4 linked regions of the Saccharomyces cerevisiae S288C genome follow. The protein of the gene in region 4 purifies or fractionates together with the protein of the main gene of each other region. This does not show direct contact. Each region holds a gene or a part of one and is shown on either strand. Other genes may lie near its edges. The genes, in order: RSA4, TIF6, NOP15 and NOP7.

Region 1 (5,707 bases), on a different chromosome or scaffold from region 4:
AATACTTTGATCCCGTTTCGAAGTCGATGAAAGAGGCGGATCTGACTTTTGAGTTGTACGGTACTGTCGTGCCCAAAACTGTGAACAACTTTGCTATGCTGGCCCATGGTGTTAAGGCAGTTATCGAAGGGAAAGATCCCAATGATATACATACTTACTCGTACCGTAAGACCAAAATCAACAAGGTTTACCCTAACAAGTATATCCAGGGTGGTGTGGTTGCCCCAGATGTGGGTCCTTTCACCGTCTATGGGCCCAAATTTGATGACGAAAACTTTTACTTAAAACATGACAGGCCTGAAAGACTCGCAATGGCCTATTTTGGACCTGATTCTAACACCTCGGAATTCATCATCACCACTAAAGCCGATGGAAATGAGGAATTGGATGGCAAAAGTGTCGTGTTTGGTCAAATAACTTCTGGTCTAGATCAACTAATGGATGCTATTCAATACACAGAAACAGACGAATATGGAAAGCCTCAGCATGAATTACGGTTCCTGTATTTCGTTCTAGAAATCTTAAAAATTAGTAACATCTTAGATTTGCACGCTGCGTACACAGAAAAAGTCGAGAAGTTTAGAAATGGCGATGTGTCTGTTGGCTCCACTTTGGAAAACATCTTCCGTAACGATAAAGCCTACACACCTTTAACCACCTCCACTGGAACCACCGCCTATGATTTAAACCACCCAATTTCCAGAGCCTTGATGTGTTTAACTGTTCTTGGCCTTTGTTTCATTGCCTACAAGGGCATGCACGAAAAGCCTCATACGGTTTCATTAAGACACAAGTAAGCAACTTCTTTTCGATGGCTTGATGACCACATGGCTATGATTTTAATTAATATATATACATGACAATTATTTTTTTATACATTAGCGATACCTAAAATTTCTTGGTTAATACCCTTTTGACAGCCTCTACTGCATTGCCCTTGATAATAATTTTTTTCGATTGCATCACCACAGACCATGATTTTTTGGGTATGAAAGGCAGTTGCTCCTGCAAGTCATTTCTTAGTTGAATTACATCTCCTTCAATCTTTCTGATCTCCGTGATAATCTTGTTACCTCCATTTTTATAAGCGGAATACACCGGTAGATTTCCGGTCCTGCTTCTCTCCACGTAGTAGGTCTTTTTACCAAAATTGTTGTTTCCTATGAGCTCATGCATCTTCACGTCTTCCAGCTTTGGAAATATTGGCGCCTCAGCAGCTTTATTTGAATTAGTGGATATACATCTTATCGTTTGGTATATCGAGGCAGTGGCAGGCCCTGGAAGGCATTTACCCCTACCAAAACATCTAGTAACACACGAACTGATCATAGTTTTGCTCACACGCTACCTTGGAGTAAGTTGCTTTAGGTAAACGGGCACTTCTTTCAAAAGGTTTTCCTTCTTGCTGGAGCTATACTGCTTATAGTACCATATTTTAAATTCATACCAAGCCATTCGTACGCGATGACCATTATAGATCGACCTTGCGACACCATCATATTTAATATTCAAAAAGAAAAAAATGCAGTTCTATATCACAGTTATATAATATTTATATGTGCATGTATGTTACTTGTCTTTGCACATAACTCAATGCGTCCACAATCTTACCATCTTGTCTTTCCCACCACTACACACTCTTTTACCGTCGACACTCCAGTCGACGGTATAAACTTCGTCTTTATGACCAGGGAGGTCAACAGAAAGTTTTCTAGTTCTTACATCCCACACTTTCAACGTGGTATCTTTGGAACATGACACCAGTAGTCGGCAGTCCGATGACCACGCAACCTGGTATACGCTGGCTACATGCCCTCTAAATGTGGAGATAAACTTACCATCTCTACCGTCCCAAAGTTTGATAGAGTTATCAAAAGACGCTGAGACAATATACCTACCATCAGGGCTGAACGCCACATGATTGACTAATTTTTGGTGACCGGTCATTCTTGCTATAGGCTTGGTAGATTTTAGTGGGTTCCATAAAAACATGGTATAATCATCGCTTGCAGTAACCATCATTTCTTCTGAATTTCCATTCTTTTTACAGATTTTTTCATAATTTTCCAATGCCTTTTTCTGGGCTTCTTCTGGTGTAGAAGGCTTCTTACCTGTATGATCGAATGCACCAATGCGCAATGCGTAATCTGTAGATAAAGATAAGTGATTAACCCAGTGCGCATGCGACTTCAAAATGTTGATACATCTGCCCTGCGAATTGATGTCCCATACACGTACGGTTCTATCGTGAGAGCCACTATACAATAGACCTTGGCCGCCCCATTTGACACAAGACACTGAATTTGTGTGACCACTCATCGTATACTGGCAAACTCTGCTCACAGTGTCCCAAATCTTAATAGTACCATCCTTAGAAGATGAAGCTAATCTTGGTTTGGAGCCCGGCTTCACAAGATGTATAGGTTCCCAACTTAAAGAAGTGATCCACTTGGAATGACCTCTGAGAGCATCACCTAGACACTGACCGCTTTTTGGGTCCCATAATCTTATGGTATTGTCCATGGATCCCGTAGCAATTACTTCTCCATCGGGGGACCAGGAAACGCAGAGAACCCAATTGTAGTGACCCTTTAGAGTATGCATTGGCGTTTGGGTGTCACAGTCCCAAATCCTTGCAGTATTATCACCTGCACCGGTTACCATCCTAGAACTCGTATGTGGTGCGAAGGCAGAACACAAAATTGTGGAACCGTGACCTGCAATGGCTGATGAACTTCTAGTTACCGGCTTGACTTTGAAAACTGCTCTTGGCGTATACAGTAGCGTGATCTGATCTTCTGTACTGTTATAGCCTGGTTTTATTAATGAAGAATATAGGTTATCTGTTATATCAATCGTCTTCACAGGGTCACTGGCCTTCTTACCTTGAATTGTACAGCTGAAGGTATATGGCACTGGATCGTCTGAAGTACCGTTCAATTGATTTAAAAGTTCTTCTAACTGTTTCTCGGAGATAGCACCGGGAACTCTCAGGGCGCCACCTACATTGTCACCAGTATCTAAAGCTTGGAACTTGATTGAAACATTGGGTAAATCTTTCGGAATAATAGCTACTTCTCTGGGAAGTTGAGCCTCTTTCTTTTGTTTCTTAGAAGGTGGAGGAATCAGGGTGGACATCTGTATATTGTGTTAGTGTGTGTTTATCGAGGTTACAAATATAAAAATCTTGTGATATATGTCTTTTAAAGATACTCTTTTTGAAGCTCATCGCATTTTTTTTTTTTTTTTCATTTTAAAATTTTTCACCGGTTTCTCGGGTAACAGCTCTAAATGAAATCTTGCCTTCATCACCATTATTGAATTACATTACATTATATATCGTAGTATATCATATTTTTAGACGTTGACCACTCTATGAGCTTAGGATAGGTACTTGATCTTTCTCTGAGTTGCCAAATGCTATTTCACGGATTTGTATCATCCAAGGGTCTATCAGTAGTTCCACAGCAGTAGCCCTCATAGTGGGGTCTTGAACCAAACACCTTTCCAAGAAGGCTCTTCCCGCTGCAGTCATTTCGTCTCTATTGGGTAGTTGCGGTATTCGACCTGCAGCAACGTGGTACATGATGGCCCATTCATTATCCAAGTTAGACCAAGGTCGTCTACCTGTGGCCATTTCTAGCACAACACATCCTAATGCCCATACATCGTCCGCTCCAAGTTTTCCCTTAACTGCCGAGCCTGAAATAGTCTCTGGAGCCATATACATCGGTGTCCCCATCATTTCATTGAGGGACTTTGTTTCTACTCCAAAATCTTGAACGGCTGCGTTCCGCACAGTTCTAGTCCTAGATCCTACAACGGTACGTGCCGTACCAAAATCCACATATTTTATGATTCCATTGAAATCCAGCAAGATATTCTCCGGTTTAATGTCGCGATGCACCACGCCAGATTGGTGCAAATATGCCAAACCTTCTAATAGTTCGAATGTGTACACTTGTGTTACCATTTCATCTTCAATTCTTCCATGATCCAATAACGAGGCTAAAGAACCACCCTCACAGTATTCCATGAAGATGTTAACTTTATCGCGATGTACTTCGACACCATAGTACTGGACAATATTAGGATGGTTTAACATTTCCAATACGGTCATCTCTTCTTTAATCAGGGGAAAAATCTTCTTCATTGTTGTGGTATCGTGTATCTTTATTTCCTTAACAGCTAAGATTTCACCGTTTTCCAGATTAATTGCAGAGTATACCTGTCCAAATGTTCCACCGCCAATGAAGCTTCTTTTTTGCCACCTCATTGATACATTCGATAATGAGGATGCTAGCGATAGTAGGTATTTGTTTCCCTGATCTGTAGCATCCAATACCTTACCCATTTGCCTGGGATTCCTCTTCATAGTCTTTTCCAACGTCTTTATAGCTTCCAGTCTCAACCTGCTGTTTATTTCTAGGGTGGCCTCTTCATCAATATTCTCTTCAGTATCAATATTCAATCTTGCCTGTTGCATGCCATTTTCAGCTTCAGTGGCTCGTGCACCCATAACGTCGAAATGTGAAATTAATAATGACATACATACTGATACCCTCTCCTTCAGTTCTTGAAATTGCTTTACATTCAGCGCCAGGATATTATAACCACTAGTCATCTGCATCGCAAAATCCATTGCAAGAACGCACCATCGGAAAGTTCGCTGATCGGTAGGATCACACTCTTCAACAAGGAATTTCAACCAGTTCATTCCTAATTTAACCATCAGAAAGATGATAACGTACTTCCTCTTTGAGCTAAAGGCGTTATATTTAAGGAAACTTCTTCCAAAATCCCTTCCAAACATGAATATCGAATTTAACAACTCATTTCCCGGACATTGCTTCATAAAGCTACCTAGAATTCCTTTGTAGTTGTTCAATACTGTATAAGTAAGTTTGTAATATGCCTTATTGATTTTTTGTAGGGAGGATTCAATTGAATTGAGTGAACAACGTTTCTCTATGAATGAAACAGAATCACCTACCGTTTGATTAAACTTGTCGATTTGATAAGTCAGTGCATAATTAGAACCTTGATTGAGTAAAATCAACGTATTTGGGTTACCAATTTTCCCTAAATCCATTTCGTTGGATGCAAAAAGGTTGTTACCTGGAAGCTTATATACTGGTCCATCCCAAACTACTGGCTCTCCAGGATATAGTACAACTAGTGCACCCAATGAGCTCAAAGCAACTTCCAATTCAAAAACTTCATTGTTCTTTTCATCAAGGTGCTGATCAAAAGGGTCTGTTGAAAAATTCTTCTTTTTGGACTGATGAGCATGCCTGTCCAAATCACTTGACGAATTTGCTACTACTCGGTAGTAAGGAATTCCTTTGGAATCCTCCCCTTTCGATACTAGAATGTTCAAATCTGTTTCTTTTGTTGTTATATCATACACATTCAAATTATTTCCAATGTCAAGCTTTGGGACCAAATCACAGCCAATGGATTTATTTCGCAAAATTCTTAAGATGGTATCATTGTCACAACCTAATAATTCAGGAGCAGCAAACATATATACACCACTAGACTCAAAAGTGTTACCGGAGTATACCAAAAAATAGTGAGCATCTTTTAACTTTTTAACAAGTTGTGCATTATGATTAATCTGATAAACAGCAGAATTTTGGAACGCCTTGACTAGAATATTGCTGAACCTGTTCAGCTTTCTTTTCATGGCACCCAAATTTTCGAA
Region 2 (5,185 bases), on a different chromosome or scaffold from region 4:
TTGTTCCAATGGATCATTATATATTAACAACGTTGGCATATACGTGACCGCAATTTGAACTACCTACATTTAACATACTTTTGTAGAGGAAAGAGGCTGTTTGTTCTTTAACCATGATTATACCAATTTAACCTTTTTTTTTTTTTTGATAGTGAACTGCATACTAGTCAGGTAATTGAATTCCTGGTACAGAGATTCATCAAGACATCCGTGTCGGCAACGTTGTACTAAATGAAAAGGTCCTTTGTCTTACGAACTAGACAGAATAAAATGTATCGTGCGGCAGTATAGAACCGTATTACAAATGCTGATGCATTCGCAAACAAATTTCTTGTAGAAATTATAATTCGAACAAAAATCCTCTCACTATTCAAAAATCGGAAGTCAGTAAAAATTGATTGTTGGCTACATGTAATATATTATATGGAACTAATACATATCTATACTCATTTTACTTGGTAAAAAGTGTCACACCTACATCAAAATCACACTGAAAACAAAATATTCTAAACAATGCTTTCACTGATGTTTTTTCTTTGCTATTTTCTTTTGATGGGTTCTTAAATGCCTTAACATGTTACTCTTGACATTGAAAGATTTGTTGCAATGCTCCCAAGTACATTTGAAAGGTGTGTCTCCCGTATGTATTAAGTAATGAGTCCTCAGTGTTGAAGGTCTCGAACAAACCTTCCCACAGATAGGACATTGTTTCCGTAGCTTTACCACAGCGCGCAGTTGCTTTTGTATAAGATCTAAGTCGGTTTGTGTTTGGGATAATAGCGTCCCAGGATTTTGCCCTATATGCACATTCGGGAGGGAGTACTGCTCGTTGCTCACCGCTCTGTGGTTTTCCTCCTGAAAATGCTGCATTGATGGAGGTACAGATTGGGCAGTATAAGAGGAAGCTGCCGTTGAATAAATAGGGCAACAAGATTGACGTTCAACGAACGTTAAAGGGAAAGGTTGCGGTGTTGCTATAACCGGCGAAAAGATAATAGAGTTGGGACTTGATCTCCATACGGGATCCTCTGTCTGATGCAGAGAAGAAGGTGCGTAATGGTAAGCGGGAGGTGGTAGTGCGGCCTGGTTTATTTCAGGAGTAAGTGGAGCGTGCATAATCGACGAACAAGGTGGAAGATGCACTTCCCTTTTGGTCGTGTTCGAGACTTCCTTTGAAGATTGCGCATAGGATCCCCCTATGTTAGACGATGAACATTTCATTGGGCTACAAAGCATAGATTCTAGCGTTTTTGTTCTCCACATTTAATTAGTGTTGAAGATGAAAATTTATGTATATTAAAAGTTAGAAACGGGTCAATGAAGACGTTTGCTTATCGTATTGGATCCTTGCAATGCCCTCCAAAAAGAAGAAAAAAGTTGGACCAAGAAAACAATTATAATTTTGTAATTTGAAATATCTACCAATGAGGTCAAAAGAGCGACAACAACTAGCGCTTATATAATATAAAGAATTCTTGGGACTGTATCTCATGGCAACCAAATGCCGTTCATATTTAGGGTTTCAGTGGGAAAAGATTTCCGGTGCTTTACGCTCCTTGTACAAACAAGTGCTGCGAAACTTTCTGTGGAAATCGTGCCTTTTAAACCATTAGTGAAGGCTCCAGATAGAGTTGTCACAGAAAACAGCGTGGCGGACTTATTTTTTTGCAACGATTTTCTGGAAACAATAGAGGAAGAATTTTTGGCGTACGAAAAGGAACGATGCCCCCAACACCTCAACAATACTACGGAAGTTTCTTCGAGCGGAAAAACATCGAAATACTAGCTGTTTCTGGATATGAGAGTGGGTATGCGTGGCAATGGAACTCAGGGAGTTGTTGCTATTTCAGTGAGTACGATGGATCAGGGTGTTTATATCTCAAGAACTACCAAGTTGAAGAGATGAAACGTAGTTCGCTTGATAGCACATAAATGGACGGCTGACTTGTTGTACACCATATATATATATATATATATATAATTTTACGGCTCACTTCTGTACCGCTTGTGAAAATCTTACCGCACAACCCCCGGTGTTCTATTAGCTTTGTTCGATTTTATTAATCTTTGCCAAGAGATACTACTCTCCGGGTTCTGGTGGAGACAATAGTATGTCCTAGCAGCTAGACAAAAAAGCCTTCAAATGGTCTACGTGCGGTGCAATTTTTCTTGGAGAAGTTCTATATTGTCTAACAGATACTTGGAACTGAGCAAGTTGTCAGAATAGTCGGAGAAGCGGACGGAAAATCCATATTATGCAAAGAATTTGCTTAGAAACCCGTTACATATGCTTCGAACAAAGTGACTACATGTTACAATTAAGACGCCTACTTAAACTGCAATGAATAGTCACCCATAGGTATAAGAAAAAAAAAAAAAATAAAAGAGTACATAATATACATACAACTAAAATTAAAATGCATAGAAACCTAAGAAAAAATATTTGTTATACCAAAAAAAATACCACAAATGATACGTAAGAAGATTATTGCAACATGGGGACTCTTTCGCATACAACTGTAAACAGACTTGAGGAAGGAGGGGAATCCCCTCAGGAGTACCTGACATCTATGAGTAGGTTTCAATCAAAGTATCACGTAGGTTACCTGAAATGGATTCTGGTTGGGCATCTTGCAAGCGGAAAATACTTTCAATAACACTCAATTCTGGGGCTGTAGTATCCAGACCTGTAACTGCCAAGTAATCGTTCACAACCATACCGGCACCGACAACTGAACTACCACGGTTAACGGTACCAGCCACCAAAGGAACTTGTAATAAGGAGGACAATTCTTCTTGATCTTGGACACTTGTTTGTGGATGCACTAACCCACCTTGATTACTTAAAGAACAATATGACCCAACTAAGATATTACCTGATATGGTTTGACGGAAGACCTCAACGCCTAGTACATCACTTATCAATTCTTCAGTTTCTCTGTCGATATCTGGATGCACTAAAGCAACGTAATCATTACAACAGATGACGTTACCCAAGGCAGATAGTCTTTCCTCTACCCTTTGAATCTTAACGGAATCCGGCAAACTATTTCTTAAATGTTGTAATTCTTGATCAGTAGTTTGGGTTGGAACTAGCAGACCTCTACGGTTACCCGCGGTCATTCTACCGATGATACGCGTACCAGCAATAGTGGTATGAACGATGGGAATAGCATCTCCTAATTCAGCTTCAAATGCAGAGTAAAAGTTTTCAGAACCACCAACAGCAACCAAACAGTAAGTATTCGTTAATTTGGAGAATACACCGATTTCATTGGAGTTTTCAAATTGAGTCCTGGTAGCCATTATTGTTTTCTAGAGTTAGTTGAATTATGCTCTTGTTCCAAATACTCTGTCGTATTGCTTCTTGTAATTATACTATAAGACCAACGAGGGATGAGGCTTCTTTTAATTATGCAATATTGAATATTGCGTTACATACAGTAAAAGAAAAAATCTGCACAAAGGAATATGGGTTTAAATCTTTAATTAATAAAAATTTTCCGAAAATTTTCGTTTGGCCCTCGGAAAAAACGGGTAATGCTCATCCATTAGGATTTCGTCCAGAATGCCTATATTATTACATAAAGTGATGCTAGTAATGTAAACCAGAACTACTTCTATAGCTTGTTATAGGTGGCCCATGCCAGTGAAATAGGTGGTTGGTTACTCTTTTTTTTTTCTGGTGGCGGCAACCTATTTTTGTTCTAGTGCCTACCAAACTAATTCCTTCCCATAATTTGAAGGCTTCGCAAGCTTAGTAGATGCAAAACTCTTTCTTCATTCTTTGTCTGATCTTGCACCTTACATATTATTCCAATAGGACCTTTATCACAATCAGCGCATATCAAATATTTCAAGCACTTTTTAATCTTCCAGCTGGAATTACCATACTCAAAGACAAAATCACTCTTATCACTCAAATCCCCTAATATAGAAGAAGGAATTTCTCTAGATACACCAACATTATCAAAGTCCCAAACATCAGGGACGACCAAGAAGTTGCTCTCGCTGGGGGTAGCATCTCGCATAGTTCTGTTTTCCAGCAACTTGAATTCGCTGTGCACCTGCTCTGGTAAGTTTATTATGTTATCATCGTTGATGGTAATAACTGCACTATGACAGCCCTCAAAGGAACACGTAGCCTTGCTCATGTTCTCTGTTATTCCCCCATTTTTCCAGCCCTTTTAATTGAACTTTCTACTCATACCAGTCAAGTTTTTGATATGTACTTCATTAATTAAAATGATCGATATATAATCGTTCAGTACGACAATGACGATATTCACAGTACTACTAAACTAGCGGGTCCCCGGCGCCCAGTCAGCCTTTACGAAGAGAAAGGAAGAATGATATGGATATGCTGAAAAGTATTTTGATACAGAAGAAGGGAGTTTTGAGTTGTCGGGCTCATCGTGCTGGATCAAGTGGTTCCCTACCTGGCGCGATCTATAGTGTCAGACGGCTTGCATATATGCTCACGCGTTCGGACGCGTGAAAGGCTTCAACTGAAAAAAAGAAAGATCTACATCGTTAAACCAAAAGGTTTGCGAACTGACTAAAAAATAAAATTCTTATTGGTTCCACTTCTTGAAATACATCATTTTTCCAGCCAATTCGTTGAGGAGAAGAACATTCTGTTATTGCTGTTACAGAGAATTATATGTTTTAGTGAACCTCAAGACAGAAGAGAATCGAAAGGAAAAGGGAAAATGGAGCAACATCTCAAATCAATTCCTCTACAGGACGACACTAAGAAAAAAGGCATACTATCTTTTTTCCAGAATACAACTACGGTAAAGAGTAATAAGTTTCTCACGAAAGAGAAGGATGTCATCACTCTAGATGATCCTAAAGAGGATGTCAGTGGACCTATGATAGAAACTGTTAAACAAGAAACCATGAAAAGCATCAATAAAGAGTGTGCAGATGAAATGAAAACGACACCTAAGAAGGCCAATGCTGAAGACAAGCTTTTATGCTACAAAAATTCACCCATACAAAGTACAAAATACGATAGAAACACCAACAAACAAGTACCCAATGGAAATATAATAGCTATCGAGACAAAAAGCAGAAGCTCTTCTCCATGCTCTAAGAGAGAACTTTCCTCATCGAAAAAGGAAGAAGCTAAAAGAGAAAAGGAACTAAAAAAGCAGCAACGTGCAGAAGAGAAACACAGAAA
Region 3 (5,002 bases), on a different chromosome or scaffold from region 4:
AGAGACGGGAAATTATAAACTCGGAGAAGTGTATTTGTGTTCATGATTTGCACTTCATGTCAAAAGAAATTTCGCTTTTTGACATCGGCGCAAATAAACAAGGAATTGGCTTTTCAGCTTATTTCTAGAACGCATACATACGCTTCGTTGATCGTTGTTTTTTTCAATGCTTGGCATTTGTACAAGGGTAGATTGTTTTATTGGAAAAATAATAGTATATTCTACTTTGAAATGCCGTCATCCTTCTTGACTATTGTTATTCTCATTTTGTGTAGTTTATGCATTTTGTAGTTATATTGAGATACTGTTGCATCCCAAGTTCGAATTATTAAGAAGTGCTGATAAAAATGGAAAATAACAAAATAAAAGGATTTCAACCATATTCAGAAATCATTTACTTTGTTTTCCTTTTTTTAAGTGCTAGCTTTCATTCAGTTTGAATAAGGATTCTGGAGTATTGATGATTAAATATTTCGAATTCTTTAATAAAAATATAATTTCTGATAATCTTCAAGCCAGGGGGAAATTTGAGACAATGTTGGGAGTCCAAACATGAATTTGTGGGGGGCATGAAAATAAAGTTCATATACAGAATAACGAACCAAATTACTAACAGTATGCTTTGTAAACGTTTGTTTACTTCTTTATTTTTTCAGATGTCAAAGGTATCAATTACGTTATCAACTACGATATGCCAGGTAACATTGAAGATTATGTTCACAGAATCGGTAGAACTGGTAGAGCAGGTGCTACTGGTACTGCTATATCTTTCTTCACCGAACAAAACAAAGGTTTAGGTGCTAAATTAATCTCTATCATGAGAGAAGCTAATCAAAATATTCCTCCCGAATTATTGAAATACGACAGGAGATCTTATGGTGGCGGTCACCCAAGATACGGTGGTGGTCGTGGTGGTCGTGGTGGCTATGGCCGTAGAGGTGGTTACGGTGGTGGCCGTGGTGGTTACGGCGGTAACAGGCAGAGAGATGGTGGCTGGGGTAACAGAGGTCGTTCAAACTATTGAAGTCAAAGTGATTCAATTCATTCATCTCTATTAATAATAATTATATAAGTTGACTGCACCTTATTTCTTCAATGCATGATAAAATTTTATTTGCTGTATACTACATTTTTAATATTTTAAAGCTCTTCGTCACACTTTTTCTTTAATACTCCTAAGTTTTTGGGTGAACGGTGGCAACTGGATTGAAGTTATTTCGCATAACGCTTAGTGTGCCGTAAAATAATAGGACAGACACTTTTCTTTGTTCTCGTACAACCCTGGGGCCGATGTTAAACGAATGATTTTCAAAAAAACAGTAGACTTACAAAGAAGTCGTGCACTAGCGCTTATGGGTCATTTTAGAATGAGCGAAATGCACGACAACCAGGTTGATCGTATTGAAGTAAGAGCAGAGCTTTATTTGCCTTTTTTTTTTTTATCTAAGACGATGATTTTTAGCCATACACAAAGATAAGTATATACATATTAATTTATAATAATTCTATCTGCCAGGCAGATTCTATGATACAGTGACATACTTCTATGCGATATAGTAGCATAAGTTAATGTTGTAAGACATTAATTTGGCCTTGATTGCTTGTAAATAAATAATTTAATAAACTGAAACGAAAAATTCAATTGAGTTTGGAGAAGAGTGTGGGCTATTCTGGAAGAAAAATTATTCGTTCAACAAATAATAAGCAACACCTAGCATTAAAATGGCCAATATGACAACCAATGTACCACTACCTTTACTTTGGTTTTCAGAGGTAGATACCTTTTCCACAGAAACGCGCTCACTGGTCTTGTCAACGTCACCAATGTATAAACCTTTCAGTAGTCTCAATGCTTCGTCAGAATGACCGATATCGACAAAGCTTTCTGTAGCATCTTGTCCACCCAAATCCATTATAATTTCATCACCACCTGGATGTTCATCTTTGAATTGAGAAACATCGTAAACTTTGTCATCGATGATAATCCAGAAATTTTCTGGGCCATTGTGTTCGGCAACTTCTTGGTAACTGTAAACTTTAGGCATGATTGTTTGATATTTTATGTTGTAGTTGATTGATTTTCTTTACTATGAAGAAAATGAAAATCGAATTTAAATATTAACGAGGAAGCCTGAACGAAAATTTTTGAGAAAGTTTCAAAAGCTTCTTGTTCTTTATATAGTTATTGGAAAAAGGACAATATATATATTTGTTATTTATTGATATAATAACAATGCTTCTCAAATATCGCTTTTTGGCCACGAATGCGACAAAAATTTTCTCGTTATGCTAACCTCTCTCACTATCTCGATCTCGTATAGCTTTCTTTTTTGCAGCTATTGTTCTTTTTCTGGGCCGTTAAATTTTTCATCCGGAAACTCCAGGCTATTACCCGCTCCGTGATTTTGGTCGTTGAATCTTCGTAAAAGCAATCATGTAAATATCATTGAATACGGACAAACGGAACTATATTGCTGGAATTAATGATATAAATGGTTTCCCAAGTTTGCTATATCTCCTATTCTATCTTACAAAACCCTTTTCTCAGGGTGGATGAGAAGTGACAAGTCACCATTTGAATTCGATACCTGACTTGGCTAATTTTTTTATCCTTTCTTCATGTTTTTGCTTCATGTTATCCTTTAGCTGTTTTACTGGTTTGGTGATACCTTTCTCTACTAGAACTCTCTTCTTGTATTTGTACAATTTCTCGATTTTAGCTCCTTTTGGTAATACACGCACTTGTAGTAGATGACCCATCAACAAGTAATTGTTCATAGATTCTTGGGCGATCATTGCATCCTCTTTATTAACGAATTCTAAGAAGCCATAATGTCTGGAATTTCCAGTTTTCTTATTACGTGCTAATCTCACTTCTTTTAAATCACCGAATTGAGCAAAATATTTACTTAATTCCTTTTCGTGGAACCCATGTGGCAGTCTACTCACATAAATAATCCCAGAATACTCTTCAAGTGTCTTTTTATCTTTCGACTTTTTTTCATTAGCCTGCTTCTTAGGATTCAATCTTTTAATCTTGTGTGTACCGCTCTGCTCATCATCAGAAGCGGCTAAACCTTCAATTTCATCTTCATCTTTTTCGTCTTCTTCATCTGAACTGCTAGACGATGTTTCTAGAGCCAACTCTTCTTTCTCCTGTATAGGTTTTTCTTCGGTGGGTTGTTTGGTTACTGTTTCCTTGGTGGAAGTTTTGCTTGTTGACTTTACCATATCGATCTCTTTCCTCTGTTATTTTATCTCTAGAACTTAACCCTATAGAAAAGGTAGTTAATGAAGTTAAAAGTAATGGTAATCGTCTTCAAATTAAGTGATGAGATGAGATGCGATGCACTACTTCATTTTTTCTTATGGCGGAAAATTTTTCATAGTGAAAAGAAACAGGCAAAATCTGGGGGGTAACCGCATACGTCTCTGCTATGCCGTCTGTAATGAGGATGCTAAAGTTGCAATAGCTGCTATGCACATTAGAAAGGGTTTAGCAGGATAATGAGTTTTCAGAGATAGCACAAAACTCGAAAGGTTTCGGTACTACTACCTAGACAGCTCATCTTTCAATCGTTGAACCTTGAATTTTGAAGTTTAGGGATATTAAAAGATACTGTTAATTCTATCAATTTACACTAGACTTTGACATATGTATATATATATATATATTCACACAGCTTCATCATGAAATAAAAATCAAATGCAGAAGTGTATAATGAGAAGTACAGAATTCAAGACTCACTTTAGTTTTCACTCCATTTTTAGTTTTCCGCTCTCAGCTGCTCTTCTCGCTTTGATATCAGCGTCTGAACCAGCCTCAAAGGCATTCATAAACGTCCAATTCATTTCTTCCCCATTAGTTAAAAAGGAGGTGTTGCCATTCATTGTAAGTTTCCACTCTCTCTCTTCAAATGGTATACTTTCATTTTCTCCTTTCACCAGCTCAAATTTATCAATAGCACAACTTCCATTTCTTATAAAGGTGCCTTTGTTATCAATGGGCTCTTTGGCACTGGAGAATTTCAACAAGTTCATACCAAGAGCGGATTTAGTGGCTGCGTGGGTAACTATCATAATGGTCTTTACATTTGGAAATTTTCTCTCCACTCTGTCAATAAAGACAGGCCAGAATTTATGGCACCTCTCAAAAATATCTTCTTCTGTTTCACCCTTATTACTAGGAATAATACTAGGTTCCCAGTCTGGAGAGATCATGCTTGGAAAAAACTTACTCATAACTTCATGAGTAGCAGGCTCCGGGATAATGGGTCTATCAGGCTTATACCATTCTCCTACACCACGATCGACATATAATGGAATCTTTAAAGCCTCCACTGTGGGTTTACTAGTTTCTAAACAGCGGTAAAATGGGGAGGAGAAAATCATTTCTGGTTTGACATCTAATTTAGAGATATAGTTCGCCAGTTCATGTGCCTGTTCAACACCGTGTTCCGAAAGCGGGACATCGTTATCAATACCGGTGGGCGGTGGTGGATATGGTCCCTTTGGTAGCCAGTTTGACCTGTAACCATGTCTGGCAATGTATATATTTTCGATAGCCATAATTTATAGCACTATTTTAACCTCTTGTACAACTAATTGAACGTCTTACATATTGAACGAAACTGCTTTACTTCTAGGATTGTTTTCAAAGCTTTTTTATAAATTTCGAAATATCCGCTATTCGGATGACGTGATGACGCTTCGGCACCATTGATTATTTTTCCAGAGTTTAGATGTCTTCTATGTGCAACTGAACAAGTAGCCTTCGAAAGCTAGAGGGATAGATACATTACTTGTGACCACCTATTTACGGCATCACAAAGAAAGCGAGATGGCTCCGACAATAAGCAAAAGGATAAAAACTCTCTCCGTGAGCAGACCAATAATATATGGCAATACGGCTAAAAAGATGGGTAGCGTTAAACCACCAAATGCTCCTGCCGAACATACTCATTTATGGACAATTTTTGTCAGGGGCCCACAAAATGAAGAT
Region 4 (5,921 bases):
ATTGAGACTTTCATGAAAAGAACGCAACTGCGCCATATGCCAAAAACTTTCAACCTGTCCAGTGATGACTTGTCCAATATCTATGACATGTTTTACCAAAGTATAGAAACCTACAAAATTAGTATGGGAACGGGATCATCTAATATGGGTTTCGAAGTATTCATTCAGTTCTTGAGTAAATTCTGTGACTCCTGTAGACCGTGTGAAAAGGACAAAGATCCAGCTTTCCGGAAACAAAAAAGGAATTTTCTGCAAAGGTTATTTGATAACTGGGATTCTGCTCATATCGGCGAGTTGACATTGAACGATGTGGTAACAGGCTTGGATAAACTGGTAACTGTTGATCTTTTACAAGCTATAAACTATTTTTTCTCTTTATATGATACAGATGGCGATGGTGAATTGCATAGAGAAGAAGTGCTACAGTTGTCGGAAGGGCTGCTACTGCTAACGGAACCTTGGAAGAGCGGTAGATATGTAGATCTGTTAACTAAAAAGCGCATTGAAGATGATATTGCTGAAAACATCATCAAGGAAAGCGGTGGAGAGATAGCCACTATGAACCAAATCGAGTTACCAACTGGGGTTACTATTGATGAGGAAAAATATAAAGTTGAACAAGCAGAAAGATACCTAAAAGCTGCAAGCAATTTCCTACAAAGATCTTTTGAATATGCTAAAGCAGTTGATCTCGCGGAGGAGGTAAACTTGATTGACTTGTCTGATGATGAAGGCGAAGAAAAGCGAACGGTAAAACAAAAACAACTGGAAAGCATAAAGGCAAATGCAGCCCTAGATCCCACCCATCCAAAAGTAATAGATTTGCCAACATTTAGAATGATCATCCTCGCAGATGAAACTTACGAGCTTTTCTTTTCTAATACTTTACGATCATCTGTTCACGTCGACGAACATGTCAACATTGATAACAAAAATAAAGTCCTCAGAAGTATGTTTGACGGTATATTGGCAGACGGCAAAAGAGTTGCTGAGCAAGTTCGTCGTCGTGTCGATTCGGTGGCAACTAGGAGCAGCATTGCTTCTGTAGAGAGTACGCCAACAGCCGCTGCAAGTTCAATAACTACCAAAGAAGAAAAGTACGATGATCTAGATGATTTCACGTCAGAGCATCAACCCGAGAATGAAGAGTTATTACAAAGTTCCTGGTTTGAGATCGACGATGCCAATGAAACTAGCACTAAAGCCATACAAGAAAGGTCTTTTGAGCCTTTGTCGGCAAATTCCTCGGAAGAGAAGTCCAACCTTATTGAATTTGAAGCATGAAATCGTGCTTATCAATTTTATGTCACCCTAAAACATCTGTACGTGTTTATATAGATATTTAAAGCAATATTTGCCAGGATTTGGTGAAGATCCCTCATATAACTCTCATAAATGCGGATTTTCGGAGCGAAAAAAGCCTAAATTCTTGTCTGGAAGTATAATTGGCGGTGAAATAGAAAAGGTGGCAATCACGACTGAAAAGGGTACAGCTTTCGCAACTGACATATACAGACAGTGAAAAGTAATAAATTGCCCAAGTGTGAACATGTCAGGTGTAAGCTCTGTTATGCTCGGTCTTCGACCTGCTACAAGAATTTTTTTCCGCAGTAATATTTCGGTTTCACCTTCGAGGACTTTTGTATCATATATTGGAAGATCCCAGAGCACGTCGATACTCAAAAATGCTCCCAACTTAGAGGACAATGTCACAAATCTTCAGAAAATTATACCGAAACGGTTCTTTTCTCAAACATCAATTTTGAAATCAAGGTGGAAGCCTATATTCAATGAAGAAACTACTAATCGATACGTACGTTTGAACAGGTTTCAGCAGTACCAGCAGCAGAGAAGCGGCGGCAATCCTCTGGGCTCTATGACTATTTTGGGGCTCTCTTTAATGGCAGGAATATATTTTGGCTCCCCTTATTTGTTCGAGCACGTTCCACCCTTTACGTATTTTAAGACGCATCCAAAGAATCTGGTATACGCGTTATTAGGCATCAATGTTGCCGTATTTGGACTATGGCAGCTACCCAAATGCTGGAGGTTTCTACAGAAGTACATGTTGCTGCAAAAGGATTACGTAACTAGCAAAATTTCGATAATCGGAAGTGCGTTTTCACATCAAGAATTCTGGCACTTAGGTATGAACATGCTAGCGTTGTGGTCCTTTGGTACTTCACTCGCAACAATGTTGGGAGCATCCAATTTTTTCTCCTTATATATGAATAGTGCCATTGCAGGTTCTTTGTTTTCGTTATGGTATCCAAAACTGGCACGCCTAGCCATTGTCGGACCTAGCTTGGGTGCCAGTGGAGCGCTATTTGGGGTTTTAGGATGTTTTTCATATCTATTCCCACACGCTAAAATTTTGCTGTTTGTTTTCCCAGTCCCAGGTGGGGCTTGGGTAGCATTCTTGGCTTCAGTGGCATGGAATGCAGCTGGTTGTGCTTTAAGATGGGGGTCATTTGATTACGCTGCGCATTTAGGTGGCTCTATGATGGGGGTCTTGTACGGATGGTATATAAGTAAAGCTGTAGAGAAACAAAGGCAGCGTCGCCTTCAGGCTGCTGGTAGGTGGTTTTAATCACTTAAAAAAAGACACATTCTCATTCGAAATATTGTAAATACTGCTATGTCTTCTATGTACTTAATCTTATTTATGCATTTGAAAAATATTTCAGCCTTATCGTGGTGGTACATGTACAAGAAAATTCATAGGCAAAAGAATATATAGAATAGAGCGTATGTGTTACTTTTCTAAGTCTTACTTCCTGTTTTTGAGTAGTCCCTCTTTGACAACAAAATATGCATTTTTGGATTCCGCGGCAAGTCCAGTTGCTTTCCAAGATCCGCTAACTTCTCCTAGCTCAGCATCCTGCTTTTGGTGGCTGATGCCTTCAAGTAGCTTTGTGTAGTTCAGCTGTTTCGTATTTCTTTGCACCAACCGAGCATCATATTCCTTGGTGTGCTTTTCACCTTCGACAGGTATGTTATGGAGTTTGTTGATGAATGATAATTGCTTGGCAAGTCGCATTTGAATTTCTTTAATATCTGCTCCTTCCAAGGGAAGACCTGATAACCGCAACAATTTTTTTACAGCTTCAGCAGACGGTGGCTCTAGTTTTTCCTCTTTAGTGTTTATGCCTAAATATTCGTGGACGGACCATACAGGTCTTGATAAATAATCCCTTATTTGATTCATATTTTCAAATTTTTTACCAATCTTTGCCCCTCCCGTAGATACGAACCGATGACTTCCATCATGGCATAACCCACCCACTGTATGTGTTCTGCATAGACGCCATGTTTTGTACATCGTTCTAGCACTATGGGTAAGTGCAAATAGTTCGATCTAAAAGCCTAAATGCTAGTCACTATTACCTCCTTGATGTTATATTTACAGAATAATGTCATGTCGTCTGTGGTGACTATTATTATTGCCTGAAAAAATTAAAGAAAATTTTTTGCGATGAGATGAGATGAGAAAAAATGAAAAATTTTGGAAGGTTAATTAGAGATGTGTAGTAAATCCTGCTGGTGGAATACATTTTATTCCTGTAGAAAATAGTATAGTAACAGCGGTATCCTACTTATACAATGAGAATCAAGAAGAAAAACACCAGAGGTAACGCAAGAAACTTTATTACCAGATCTCAAGCTGTGAGAAAATTACAGGTTTCTCTTGCTGATTTCAGAAGATTATGTATATTCAAAGGTATCTATCCTAGAGAGCCAAGAAATAAAAAGAAGGCAAACAAGGGCTCTACTGCACCAACTACTTTTTACTATGCTAAGGATATTCAATATCTAATGCATGAGCCCGTTTTGGCTAAATTTAGAGAACACAAGACTTTTGCTAGGAAACTAACAAGGGCTTTGGGTAGGGGAGAAGTCTCTTCTGCTAAAAGGTTAGAGGAAAACAGAGATAGTTATACTTTAGACCATATTATCAAGGAGCGTTATCCAAGTTTCCCAGATGCTATAAGGGATATTGATGATGCTTTGAATATGTTATTTCTTTTCTCTAATTTGCCCTCTACCAACCAGGTTTCCTCGAAAATTATCAATGATGCTCAGAAAATCTGTAATCAATGGTTAGCCTATGTTGCCAAGGAACGCTTGGTTCGTAAAGTGTTTGTATCCATTAAAGGTGTTTATTATCAAGCCAATATTAAGGGTGAAGAAGTTAGATGGTTAGTTCCATTCAAGTTTCCAGAAAACATCCCCAGTGACGTTGATTTCAGAATTATGTTGACCTTCTTAGAATTCTACTCGACTCTATTGCATTTCGTCCTATATAAGTTATACACCGATAGTGGGTTGATTTATCCGCCAAAATTGGATCTTAAAAAGGATAAAATCATAAGTGGTTTGTCATCATATATTCTAGAATCCAGACAAGAAGACAGCCTACTAAAACTTGACCCAACTGAGATTGAGGAAGACGTAAAAGTTGAAAGTTTGGACGCATCGACATTAAAGTCTGCCTTGAATGCCGATGAGGCAAATACTGATGAAACAGAAAAGGAGGAAGAACAAGAAAAGAAACAAGAAAAGGAACAAGAAAAGGAACAAAATGAGGAAACGGAACTAGATACTTTCGAGGATAACAATAAGAACAAGGGTGACATCTTAATACAGCCAAGTAAGTACGATTCTCCTGTTGCTTCTTTGTTTTCTGCATTTGTTTTTTACGTTAGCAGAGAAGTTCCGATCGATATTCTTGAGTTCTTGATCTTATCTTGTGGTGGTAATGTCATCAGTGAAGCTGCTATGGACCAAATTGAAAATAAGAAGGATATTGACATGTCCAAGGTCACTCATCAAATTGTTGACAGGCCAGTTTTGAAAAACAAGGTAGCTGGCAGAACGTATATTCAGCCACAGTGGATATTTGATTGTATCAATAAAGGCGAATTGGTACCTGCCAACAAATATCTTCCAGGGGAGGCTCTTCCACCTCACTTAAGCCCATGGGGTGATGCTATTGGTTACGATCCAACTGCTCCTGTCGAAGAAGGCGAAGAAGAAGAAAGTGAAAGTGAAAGTGAAAGTGAAGATCAAGTTGAGGAGGAAGATCAAGAAGTTGTTGCTGGAGAAGAAGATGATGACGATGACGAAGAGCTACAAGCTCAAAAAGAGCTTGAATTGGAAGCACAAGGTATCAAATATTCTGAAACTTCAGAAGCTGATAAGGATGTCAATAAGTCAAAGAACAAAAAGAGAAAGGTGGATGAAGAAGAAGAAGAAAAGAAATTGAAAATGATAATGATGAGTAACAAACAAAAGAAACTTTACAAAAAAATGAAGTATTCTAATGCTAAAAAGGAGGAACAAGCTGAGAACTTAAAAAAGAAAAAGAAGCAAATTGCCAAACAAAAAGCTAAACTGAATAAACTAGATTCCAAGAAATAGTTTTCTCTTCTTTTCCAATAGCCTCTCAAAAATTTTGTCTTTTAATTTAACATCTTTATTACTTTATAATTCCTCGGTATAGCAACATTAGATATATAACTACACATTTTTGTTTGTAGATATAGAAATACCTGTACATTAAAAGTGGTTACTGTTGTTCTGTATAACTATATGAGTGAATTTTGTAAAAATATGCCCAGGTGCCAATGATTATATTAGAATATTTCCATGTGCTACCCTCGAGTCCATTGACTGTCTATCGGGTACACTTAACTCTATATAGCCTTGTAGTTCCTTTTTTAAGTTCATCAAGGCAGTCTCTGTATAGTTTATACGATCGATATCGGTCCCCCTACTAACATTGATGTATGCTTTTAAAAGGAACCCTCCGCTTGTTATTTGTGAATTGCCTGCTTCTTCTATTTGCCAAATTTTTTGTAACTCAAGTATTAAACCATGCTTCATAAAAAATTTCACACCAATTGTAAGATACTGAAATT

Evidence for each region.
Region 1: the proteins of NOP7 (region 4) and RSA4 purify together in Saccharomyces cerevisiae (affinity purification with mass spectrometry; 7 studies listed by BioGRID, with this or other methods). This does not show direct contact.
Region 2: the proteins of NOP7 (region 4) and TIF6 purify together in Saccharomyces cerevisiae (affinity purification with mass spectrometry; 13 studies listed by BioGRID, with this or other methods). This does not show direct contact.
Region 3: the proteins of NOP7 (region 4) and NOP15 purify together in Saccharomyces cerevisiae (affinity purification with mass spectrometry; 10 studies listed by BioGRID, with this or other methods). This does not show direct contact.

What each region holds. Positions count from the first base shown.
Region 1 is NC_001135.5:239,215-244,921, forward strand, and holds RSA4 (Rsa4p), read right to left. Parts: upstream 3,139-5,707; coding exon 1,591-3,138; downstream 1-1,590. Other genes in the region: peptidylprolyl isomerase family protein CPR4, read left to right, coding at 1-797; mitochondrial 54S ribosomal protein mL49 IMG2, read right to left, coding at 889-1,329; mitogen-activated protein kinase kinase kinase SSK22, read right to left, coding at 3,374-5,707. UniProt on the Saccharomyces cerevisiae protein: Involved in ribosome biogenesis. Required for processing and efficient intra-nuclear transport of pre-60S ribosomal subunits.
Region 2 is NC_001148.4:589,764-594,948, forward strand, and holds TIF6 (translation initiation factor 6), read right to left. Parts: upstream 3,307-5,185; coding exon 2,569-3,306; downstream 1-2,568. Other genes in the region: YPR015C (uncharacterized protein), read right to left, coding at 520-1,263; guanine nucleotide exchange factor DSS4, read right to left, coding at 3,723-4,154; RLF2 (Rlf2p), read left to right, coding at 4,713-5,185. UniProt on the Saccharomyces cerevisiae protein: Binds to the 60S ribosomal subunit and prevents its association with the 40S ribosomal subunit to form the 80S initiation complex in the cytoplasm. Is also involved in ribosome biogenesis.
Region 3 is NC_001146.8:415,258-420,259, forward strand, and holds NOP15 (rRNA-binding ribosome biosynthesis protein NOP15), read right to left. Parts: upstream 3,232-5,002; coding exon 2,569-3,231; downstream 1-2,568. Other genes in the region: DEAD-box ATP-dependent RNA helicase DBP2, read left to right, coding at 657-1,024; CYB5 (Cyb5p), read right to left, coding at 1,683-2,045; YNL108C (uncharacterized protein), read right to left, coding at 3,757-4,569; YEATS domain-containing protein YAF9, read left to right, coding at 4,841-5,002. UniProt on the Saccharomyces cerevisiae protein: Involved in the biogenesis of the 60S ribosomal subunit. Required for pre-rRNA processing and cytokinesis. Associates with the precursors of the 25S and 5.8S rRNAs.
Region 4 is NC_001139.9:691,814-697,734, forward strand, and holds NOP7 (mRNA-binding ribosome synthesis protein NOP7), read left to right. Parts: upstream 1-3,603; coding exon 3,604-5,421; downstream 5,422-5,921. Other genes in the region: GTPase-activating protein MDR1, read left to right, coding at 1-1,284; rhomboid protease PCP1, read left to right, coding at 1,550-2,590; GTF1 (glutamyl-tRNA(Gln) amidotransferase subunit F), read right to left, coding at 2,771-3,322; SRB5 (Srb5p), read right to left, coding at 5,632-5,921. UniProt on the Saccharomyces cerevisiae protein: Component of the NOP7 complex, which is required for maturation of the 25S and 5.8S ribosomal RNAs and formation of the 60S ribosome.